3 linked regions of the Mus musculus genome follow. The protein of the gene in region 3 interacts with the protein of the main gene of each other region in a biochemical or structural test. Links are inferred from orthologs where the notes say so. Each region holds a gene or a part of one and is shown on either strand. Other genes may lie near its edges. The genes, in order: Rab14, Rab4a and Rufy1.

Region 1 (2,364 bases), on a different chromosome or scaffold from region 3:
TTGGCTTGTGAGCCATATTCACCTAATGAATGACTTTTCTATTTTTAAGAGATTTGTGACAACAATAAAAATAATATTCAGCAAGACTTGTGTGGGGCCCACAAATCTGAAATATGCCTTCTCTTCCTTACAGTCATTTTTCAGAACCTGAGCCAGCTTGTTGTGAAAGTTCTGCTCAGTGTTCTTGCCTTATGCTGTGTAGTCCAGGGCTCATCTTTTTTTCTGTCAAGGCTTTTGTATTTGAGAATTTTCATAGGTATTTTTGTTCTAAGATATCTTTTCTTTTGTTCACGAATTAGGTAATAATTCTCATAGGAAATAAAGCAGACTTGGAAGCACAGAGAGATGTTACCTATGAAGAAGCCAAACAGTTTGCTGAGGAAAACGGTGGGTTTGAGACTTAACACTCTCCTATGGGATTTTTTAAAAGAAAGGAGAATTAGATCATGCCGGCTATTCGAATTTTGTTTTTTTAACTTGTTCTATTCAGAAATCTCAATAAGGAAATAAAGTGTTTGTTTCTATGATACCTGTTAGTAGTAGTGCAGCTACTGAGTGACAAGTACTGATCTGCCCCTGCACCTCAGACACGTGCTCCTTCATGAGGGCTGGAGTAGGAGTACTGACAGCTGTGGGGCCTACTCACATGTGACTGGAGCACTCCTGACTCTGCAATGTCCTAATTTTAGTCTGAATTTTATTTTTAGGCTTATTGTTCCTTGAAGCAAGCGCAAAAACGTAAGTATGGCTAAAATGTAGATCATGTTTCAGTTCCATGCAGAGTAGAATCATGTGCTGTGTAAGTGAGTGATGCTGTAGACAGGCGTGGGAACTGTGCTGTGTAGTGAGGCCGTGGACAGCAGGAAGAGCAGTGAGCAGAAGAAGCTCCTGTTTCACTTTACAAGAGAATGGGACCCTTTTACTTAAAGGGTTGTACCTCATTGTGTCCACTGGTAACCCAGCTTAATAAATGAAACTGTGCTGACATCTCACAAGTGTTTGACTCTCACAGCTGAGGTTGAGTTTGGTATCTTGAACATGCACTGGGCCAGCATGTTCACACAGCACCTTAATGATTCAAGGACTCCATACTTAGTGACTAATGAGACACAGCGAACATTTCCTGATTGCCTTGGAGTTTAGCATTGATCCCAGCACTCCCAGTCATAGTTCTGTATCACACCAGGCAAGGACAGGCCAACCTGTTCATGTTATTTATCTCTGCTGTTGGTCCCAAGAGAACTGAGCTGTGAACATGGTTAAACATGACTATGTCACCATTGCATGATAAAGATAGCATAGTTTTATACATGGCTGTTCATAAAATAATGGAAAGCCTGGAATCCTGTCGGTACATTTGGAGAAGTTTTATTTGGAGCACCTGCTCATTTCAGAGTGGCCGTCTCAGTTTTCATGCAGTATATTAACAGAGCCCTGCAGTGAGTAGACGATGTAAATATGCAAACTGAGCTTTAGAAACAGCTTGGTACTGGGTTGTTTACTCACCACCAAAAACATTTCCTATGTTCTCTTAGCTCAGTCTTCTGGTAATCTCTTATTAGATGACAGTGGCTAAGTGGAAGACATCATGGCAGTTGACTAAAGGTTTAGCAGGTCAGTGTAAATGCCTTACATTTTCTAGAAAGCTGTGCTTTGTAAATAAAGTTGTTGATTGTCTCTTAGGGGAGAGAATGTAGAAGATGCTTTTCTTGAGGCTGCCAAGAAAATCTATCAGAACATTCAGGATGGAAGCCTGGATCTGAATGCTGCCGAGTCTGGTGTACAACACAAACCCTCAGCCCCGCAGGGAGGACGGCTAACCAGTGAACCCCAACCCCAGAGAGAAGGCTGTGGCTGCTAGTGACCTCTTTGCTCTGGCCCCTCATTTGACCTTTCACCTCTGTCTGTTGGAAGCAGTACTTTTTACTGCCTCCTTGTCTTCTGTACATCTTACTGGGTTTAATTAAAAAAAGAAAAAAGAAAAAACAACTCTTGTAAAAACAGTTTAACAATACTAAACTGCTAAACATCTAGATGTAATCAGGTTATCAAAGGCAAGTAGAGTAATAAATCTCTCCTGCATGGTAAATCTAGACTTTCCCCCTTTGATTGTCCTTGTGATAGGTTTGTCACCAATATATGATTTAAACTGAGCACTGCTGCTGGACCTGATTTTTACCTTCCCTTTTGGCAAGGCTTTGTCTCGCTGTACGGTTTAAATTTGATCTTTTCAGCCTTCCTCCCATCTTTAAACTGTTGAGTATGTCTGTTGTAGCCAGTAAGTTCATTGCTGTGAAATGACTTTGGATGGTAGAGAAAAGGGGTCTGCAACTGCTTTTGTTTTTGTTGGATAAATTCCCTGTT
Region 2 (3,054 bases), on a different chromosome or scaffold from region 3:
CTCATCACAGCCAGCAGGGGGCACTGGTGAGCTACAGGGCAAAACCCACAGATGAGGCCAGGGAAAGGCTGGTACCTGATTCAATTTTGTTAAGTATTTTCCTTGCACACTGCATGAAAGCCTCTTCGACGTTCTCGCCAGTCAGTGCACTGGTTTCCAGGAACATCAGCTCTACAAATGGTATCAAAGAAGAGAGGGAGCCACATTTAGCAGAGTGAGAGAGAGTGATCTTTAAAATCTCAGTGCAGATTCTCATTCTAGGAGGGAGTGCATGCTATGGTGTGGGCGCAGTGGTCAGAGGACAGTTTGTAGGTCAGACTTTTCTTCCTTCCGCTATGTGGGCCACAGGGATGAAATTGATGTCCTCGGGCTTGGAGGCAAGTGTCTTTGTCCTCTAAGCCATCTTGCTGGCCCAATGACAGTGACTTTTAAGTGCTGACAAGCCTGTTCAGGATTCTCATGTAGAAACATGCAAAATCCAGTACCTAAACCTTCTCTTTCTGTAAATGTAAAATTAATACACATAAATATATATTTTTGTTGTCTGTTTTTATGAGATAAGGTTACATGTAGCTGAGGTTGGTCTTAAACTTTTGGCTCTCTTGACCATGCCTCCCAAGTGCTGGGATCACAGGGTATTGGTCCGGGTGTGTTGATGTGCTCAGTTATGGGAGCCCAACCCTTTCTGAAGAATAGCCATTGTTGTGCCCTGACCCCCGAGCTGACAGGATGAAGGCAGCACACTGTGGCAGTTACTACGCCAGTTGGGGCTGTTTGGCTAAAATCATGACTTGGAGCCAAACTTTCTTCTCCAAGTGATCTACGTGCTGACAAATCACTGCACTACACAGCACATGAGCAGGACCCATGTCCATCCCAGCCAGCCACAGCCCCACTGTCCAAGAAAAGCCATCCCCGCCCACAGCTTCTAATTTATATTCAGTTTAAAAATGTGTACATTTGGGCATCCTAGATAATTTTTACTAATTTGGCTCTCCTCTAATCGTTAATACTAATGATCATTAATAATAATTGGGGAGGTTTTGTAGTCCCACTTGATTTATTTTTATTAGTTTTTCATGAATGTTTTGCCTGAATGGATGTTTAAGCACCACATGGATACCTGGTGCCCAACGTGGTGGTTAAGTTGAGAATCGAACTTGAGTCCTTTGTAAGAACAAGTGCTCTCACCCACTGATCCGGCTCTCTAGCCCTGCTGTATTACTTAGACTCATGTTCCTTTATCTCCAGAGCAGGGGAAAGCAGGGGAAAGCCTGCTGGCAGGTACATCACAGCTATAAGCCTGTACTAACAGGTCTGTACTAATGGAGGGTTTTCCTGATCATTCTAAACACCTCCTGCTTTCTAAATAGCTCTAAAATGCCAGGGATGGGGGAGCAGGGGAGGCAGGGTGGAGGTTGGATGACGGTACACACCTTTAATCCCAGCACTCAGGAGGCAGGTGGATGTCTGTGAGTTCAAGACCAGCCTGGTCTAGAGAGTGAGTTCCAGGACAGCCAGGGCTATACAGAGAACCATACAAACAGCTAATCCTAAAACAATGGTTCTCAACCTGTGGGTCCTGACCCTAGGGGTTAGGGGTTGCCTAAGGGTCATAACAGTAGCAAAATTACAGTTGTGAAATAGCAACGAAAATAACTTTCTGGTCGGGTCACCACAGCATGAGAAACTGTCGTGTATTACAGGGTCAGCATTAGGAAGGTTGGGACCACACATCTCATGTGTAGACTTAATTGGTTCTCTTTCCTTTTTCTTTCTTTCTTCCTACCTTTCTTCCTCTATTTCCCCTCCCCCCATTTGAAACAGTTTCATTGTATAGCCCTGGCTACCTTCAAGATTTCAGAAATCCTCCTGCCTCTGCCTCCTAAGTACAAGGATTGCAAGCCCAAAACACCAAGCCTGGGTCATGTTTAGTTCTTAGTAAACCCCTGTTAAGATGGGAAAGCAGGTTTCTGTCTGCCTCCAACCATATGTGGACTTAAGGATGGAGTAGTCTCAGCTGGCTCAGAATTAAGGCTCTTCCTAAATGTTTATAATGCTGTTATCTCTGCAAGCAACTGCCAATTTTGCAATGCGGTTTTGACATTAATAAAGTTGTTACCCAGCCTGGTCTACAGAGTGAGCTTCAGGACAGCCAGGGCTACATAAAAAGACTCTGTCTCAAAAGAATAAACAAGGTAGAGGTTTGCTGCCGTTGAATGAATGACTTAATGTAAGAAAATGAAGCTAGCTGGCTGTTTCATCTGCTTCCTTTCTATGCAGGAGGATGACTTTACCAATTATGCTTCAGGTTACATTAAAAAACGTGCCACTCTAAGATGGCTAACATACCAGAGACATAAAAGCCCTGCAGATGGTAAATCCCTTGCTTTCCTCAACCCACTGACCTTTGTCGGCACAACGGGCACAGACTAAGCTATGCTGAAATAGCCTAAGTTGACAGTAGAGACTCCACAGTTTCATAAGATAGCTTCGTCTCAAAACTCCACCAGGTGGTTAAGACCCCCAAATGTCACTGTGCCCAGACCACCCTGAGAGACTCTCTTAGAGGAAAAAGTCACTTGCCATTCTCTTGTGCGAACCTGGAGGCTTCGAGGAAGGTGACTTCCCGGTCGGCATCCAAGTCCTTCTTGTTCCCGCAGAGGATAAGGACGATGTTCTGGCTCGCCAGCATTCTGGCATCTGTTAACCAATTAGTAAGCGCATTGTAGGTTTCTCGGCTGTGTGACATAAGATTGTGGAAATGATACATGTATTTTATAAAACTAGCAACTGTTTCCAGTCATCCTCACCATGCACACACTGTTTATCAACTGGGCCTCAGAGGTGACGTGGGAACCCGAATGCTTGGTGATACAATAGGCTCATGGGCTATGTTTAGCTTCTATTACAATGAAACCCTCTGGGTTTCAAAAAAGGGCTTTCCTTCCCTTCACAGATGCACCTGAACCCCGAGTATGTGCAAGATACGTGCCTGGCTTGCAACACTAATCATGGTCACCTGTAGACTTGTGAGCACCTTGACCCATAGGA
Region 3 (4,384 bases):
CATTTTATTTTATTCTATTTGTTGAGACAGGATCTTACTACCTAGCCCTGGCTGGACTGAAACTGGTTATGTAAACTAGGCTGGCCTTAAACTCACAAAAATTTACCTGCCTCTGCCTCCAAAGTGCTGGGATTAAAAGTGTGTGCCACCACACCTGGCCTGCAACAACACTGTAATAATTTTAAACACTAAGAGTTCTGTGGTTTGACATGGTCCAAACTGTTAAATTCTTTTTTGCAAATTGTTACATTCTCATGACATTCGCATCTCCATCTTGCCAAATTCCCTTCTATCCCTAGTAAGAAAATAGGCTGAATAACCACATATCTGTAGGGTGACTTATCCAAGCCAGAGTTGGAAAGCAGAGACAATAATCACAAGGTACGTTGTGTGCTGCGTTTCCTTATCACTTAGGAATGAGGTTGGTTCAATTCCTATCAACTTAATTAATAGCAGAATACAGAGCTCATTTCCAGACCACCACTGCTGACCTTGCCTGCTAGGCTGTCATTCAGATTCATTTGATTTGAAAGAAAAAGCCCCACCACCACACACACACCTCTGACTCATCTGTCCTAATTTCTTTGGCAGCCCTTTTACAGCCTGTTCTGAAGAAAGCTGCCGAAAAATATGAAGTCGAAAATATTAGACATGAGTTGGCATGGTAAGGCACACATAAAATCCCCATACTCACTTGACAGAGGCAGGGGGATCACCAGTTCAAGGCCAGTGCTCTATTACTGAGTTCTAGGCCAGCCGGAGCTACAGACTGAAATTCTGACTGGGAACATAGCTCTGCTAGTTCTGCTAGTAGAGTGCCTGCCTAGCATGGTGTGGGGTCAGAAGCACTTGGGAGATGGAGACAGGAGGATCACAAATTCAACGGTCCTGTTGGTTATGTGTGTTGGGGGTTGGGTGAAGCTCAGTGGTAGAGGTCTTGATTAGCATGTATGAGATACGAAGTACAATTCCCAGAACTGCCATGCCGCGCGCGCGCGCACGCGCGCGCGCACACACACACACACACCCCAGAAAAAAGTAGTTAAGCACACCCCTGCCAAGTGGCCTACTGGGGGTGATGGGGACTGCGTTGTTGAGACAGGGTTTCTCTGTGTAACTCTGGCTGTCCTGGAACTCACTCCGTTGACTCTGCTGTCCTCAGCGATATTGCCTGCCTATGCCTCCCTGATGCTGGGATTAAATGCTTGTCCCACCACCACTTGGCTACATGGCCTGTTTTAATGTCTCCCTTGTGTGGGGGAAAGAAACAACAATAACAACAACAAATAAAAATCCAACAGTGAGATTTTGATTCAAAGGGGGAAAAGGCATGTGAAATGAAAGTTTAAAAGAGGAAGTTGTGTCGCAAAACGTTAAAATAAGGCGCATTCCCGGGGTGGGAAGTAGAAAGTCCAAAAGTAACTTCCAAGTGCTCCGGGCTGGGAATCACCTACGGTTAGGAATCGTACTTTCCCGAATGCTATACAAGGAAAGCAAGCCCAGGTGAGAGCGAGCAAGGCCGCAGCGGCTTAAGGTCGTCGGTCCAGGGCAGCGGCGGGTCACGTGACCTAACAACATGGCCGCCCGCGGAGAATGCCGCCGGGCGGGGCAGGATTCGGAGCCGGAGCCGGAGCGGGAGCCGGAGTCCGAGCCGGGGCCGGAGCCTGAGCCCCAAGCAGGCCTAGAGTCCGGGGAAGCGTTCGAGATCGTGGACCGGAGCCAGCTGCCGAGTCCCGGCGAGCTGCGGAGTGCGTCGCGGCCTCGAGTGGCCGACAGCTGGTCGGCGCCCATCCTGACGCTGGCGCGCAGAGCCACCGGGAACCTGTCGGCGAGCTGCGGCAGCGCGCTGCGCGCGGCCGCGGGGCTGGGAGACGGCGGCGGCGGCGGGGAGCGCGCAGGTAGGCCGGGGTCCCGCGGGCCGGGGCTGCTCCCGGGCTGGGGAAACCTGACCGGCCGGACGAGCTGCTCCGCGGAGCTGTGCCGCGCGGCGCGGCACGGGGCTCTGCAATTGGTGTCACCCACCGGGCCAGGGTGACTGCGGCCCGGGACTCCCCTCCCACCTTGTTTGTCTTTGTGAACCTCAGAGCAGCTGCGTCGTGATCACGGATTGACTTTAAATAGGAGGTTTACATTAGAGGCTTAGACGGAAAATCACCAGTGTTCGTATTTTGCATACTTGACAAATGAAGTCCGGTGCTGGTCCCCAGTTAACAATCTCGGCAGCCAGCCGGTTTGCACCTGCGGCTGAGGTTGACAGCGTATTCCAAAGTTGGTGAGAGCAGCGAGTCAGAGTCAGGAGGTTTTAGTTCCCTTTATTCTCCCGCCACTAACCCCCAACCCCACCCCCCGTGGGACGAAGACTTCCCATCACCTGTCCTACTCGCGTTTCCCAGTCTATAAAAACGGGGATTAAAAAAAAAATTAATCAGCTACGTTGAATAATCCAATTCAGCTGTTATGATCTAGATTAGAATTTCAGCATACCAATAAAGAACAAAAGTAAATTATTATTTGTTTTTTATAGCTGGGCTTGGTGATTCGGGTGCATACTTCCTGCACATGTTAATGTACGTGCTCAGAACTGCGCTAATTATAATCCATTGGTGTTTCTGAACATATCTAAAATTAAAATATAAAGGATAGCCAAGGGCGTTGTGGTGCTCGCCTTTAAGACCCGCACTTAGGAGGTAAAGGCTTGTGGAGCTCTGAGAGTTTGAGACCCACCTGGTGTACACAGTGAGCCCCTGCCTCTAAATAAATAAACAGACAAATAAATAAATAACCACGTTTCACTTGGCCTGGTCACTTACTGTGAATGGACCATGCAGACTTCAGGTTGCTGAGGTAAAGTGAGTGTTGACTGTAAATGCCTGGGGCATCACGTGCATACAATAGACTTTAGTACCCAGATTTTATTTTAAAGAACAAAATCACAACAAAAACAACAAAAAAGCTTCTTTCCTTGGTAATGAATTAACCTTGATTTTTCGGTTTTGGTCTTGGTTTTTGTTTGGGGTTTTTTTGTTTTGTTTTTAGTTTTTTGTTTTGAGACAGGGTTTCTCTAAGTATCCCTGGCTGTCCTAGAACTCACTCTGTAGACCTGGCTGGACTCGAACTCAGAAATCCTCCTGCCTCTGCCTTCTTCATGCTAGAATTAAAGATGTGCACCACCACCGCCTGGCAATCTTGGTTATTTTTATAACCTTTTCATTTGTGTGTGTATATGGGTTCACATATGTTTGTACATGTGCTTGTGTACTTGGAGACCAGAAGTTGGCTGTTTTCCTCAACTGTTTAACCCACCTTATTTTTGAGACAAGGTCTCTCACTAAGCCCGGAGCTAACCAATTGGCCACACTGTCCAAAAAGACCCAGGTGTTAGCATTCTGTCTAAACTCCACCCCCACAGTTACCTAGCAAGAGCCAGGCAGGCCTGACCCACTATAAAAGGGGCTGCTTGCCCCCTCCTCCCTCTTACTCTTGCTTCCCCCTTGCTTCTCTCTTGCTCTTCCCTTCCCCCTCCCCGTCCCCCTCTCTCCACGTGTTCATGGCCATGCCCGGCCTATACTTCTCAACTCTCTCCCTCTCTCTGCCTCTACTACGCTCTTAACTTCCCTCCCCATGCCCTGAATAAGCTCTATTCTATACCATCATGTGGCTGGTCCCTCAGAGGGTAGGGGGTGCCTTGGCATGGACCCGCCGAGGCAGCCCCTTCCCCCATACCTCACCACACCCCCATAGAACATATCTTATACCTCTTTATCTTTTTTTTATAAACACATCGCCAGGTATCGTCCTGTCTCTGCTTTCCCAGGGAAGCACTGGGAATACTAACAAATGCTGTCGTGCCCAGTGTTTAACACTGGGGATCTGAACTCAGGGCTTCAAGTTTCATCTCCAGCCCTGATGTTTTTAATCATTATGCTTGCCGTGCTGTGCCTGTGGAAGTCTGAGGATGCCTTTCAGGAGTCGGTTCTCCCCTTCTGCCATGTGAGTTTCAGGGCCAGCACTCAGATCACCCAGCCTGTACCCACTGAGCCATCTCACCAGCCCTGGTTTTTACTTTTTGACTCTTAAAACAATGGCTTAAAACGTACACACATTATGTACCTCCACAAAAATGTTTTCTTTCTTTATATCCATATCTTATCCTTTTTCCCATTTAAAATTGTTTTGGTTTTAGTTGTTTACTTAAGCCTGTTGGCTAAGAGCAAAGATACAGAGAGAATTAACAATAGTTCCCAAATCTCAGGAAGTTTTGGGTGAGGATGGAGAGAGGCTGGTAGTGGATTCAGGGTAGAGCTGGGTAGGAGGAATGGTTTCTGAAGTTCTGTACTGTAGCTAGAATAGCTAAGATCAGCAAGAACTACCGAATATTTTCTAA

What was found.
Region 1: the proteins of Rufy1 (region 3) and Rab14 form a complex in vitro, tested with the Homo sapiens proteins (2 studies listed by BioGRID). The link is inferred for Mus musculus from reciprocal best matches to the Homo sapiens genes RUFY1 and RAB14.
Region 2: the proteins of Rufy1 (region 3) and Rab4a form a complex in vitro, tested with the Homo sapiens proteins (2 studies listed by BioGRID). The link is inferred for Mus musculus from reciprocal best matches to the Homo sapiens genes RUFY1 and RAB4A.

The regions. Positions count from the first base shown.
Region 1 is NC_000068.7:35,181,767-35,184,130, reverse strand, and holds part of Rab14 (ras-related protein Rab-14), read left to right. Parts: intron 1-299; coding exon 300-387; intron 388-707; coding exon 708-738; intron 739-1,683; coding exon 1,684-1,861; 3' UTR 1,862-2,364.
Region 2 is NC_000074.6:123,829,920-123,832,973, reverse strand, and holds part of Rab4a (ras-related protein Rab-4A), read right to left. Parts: exon of another isoform or gene 2,960-3,054; intron 2,742-2,959; coding exon 2,587-2,741; intron 172-2,586; coding exon 76-171; intron 1-75. UniProt on the Homo sapiens protein: The small GTPases Rab are key regulators of intracellular membrane trafficking, from the formation of transport vesicles to their fusion with membranes.
Region 3 is NC_000077.6:50,428,298-50,432,681, reverse strand, and holds the start of Rufy1 (RUN and FYVE domain-containing protein 1), read left to right. Parts: upstream 1-1,556; 5' UTR 1,557-1,576; coding exon 1,577-1,898; intron 1,899-4,384. UniProt on the Homo sapiens protein: Activating adapter involved in cargo sorting from early/recycling endosomes. Regulates retrieval of proteins from endosomes to the trans-Golgi network through interaction with the dynein-dynactin complex.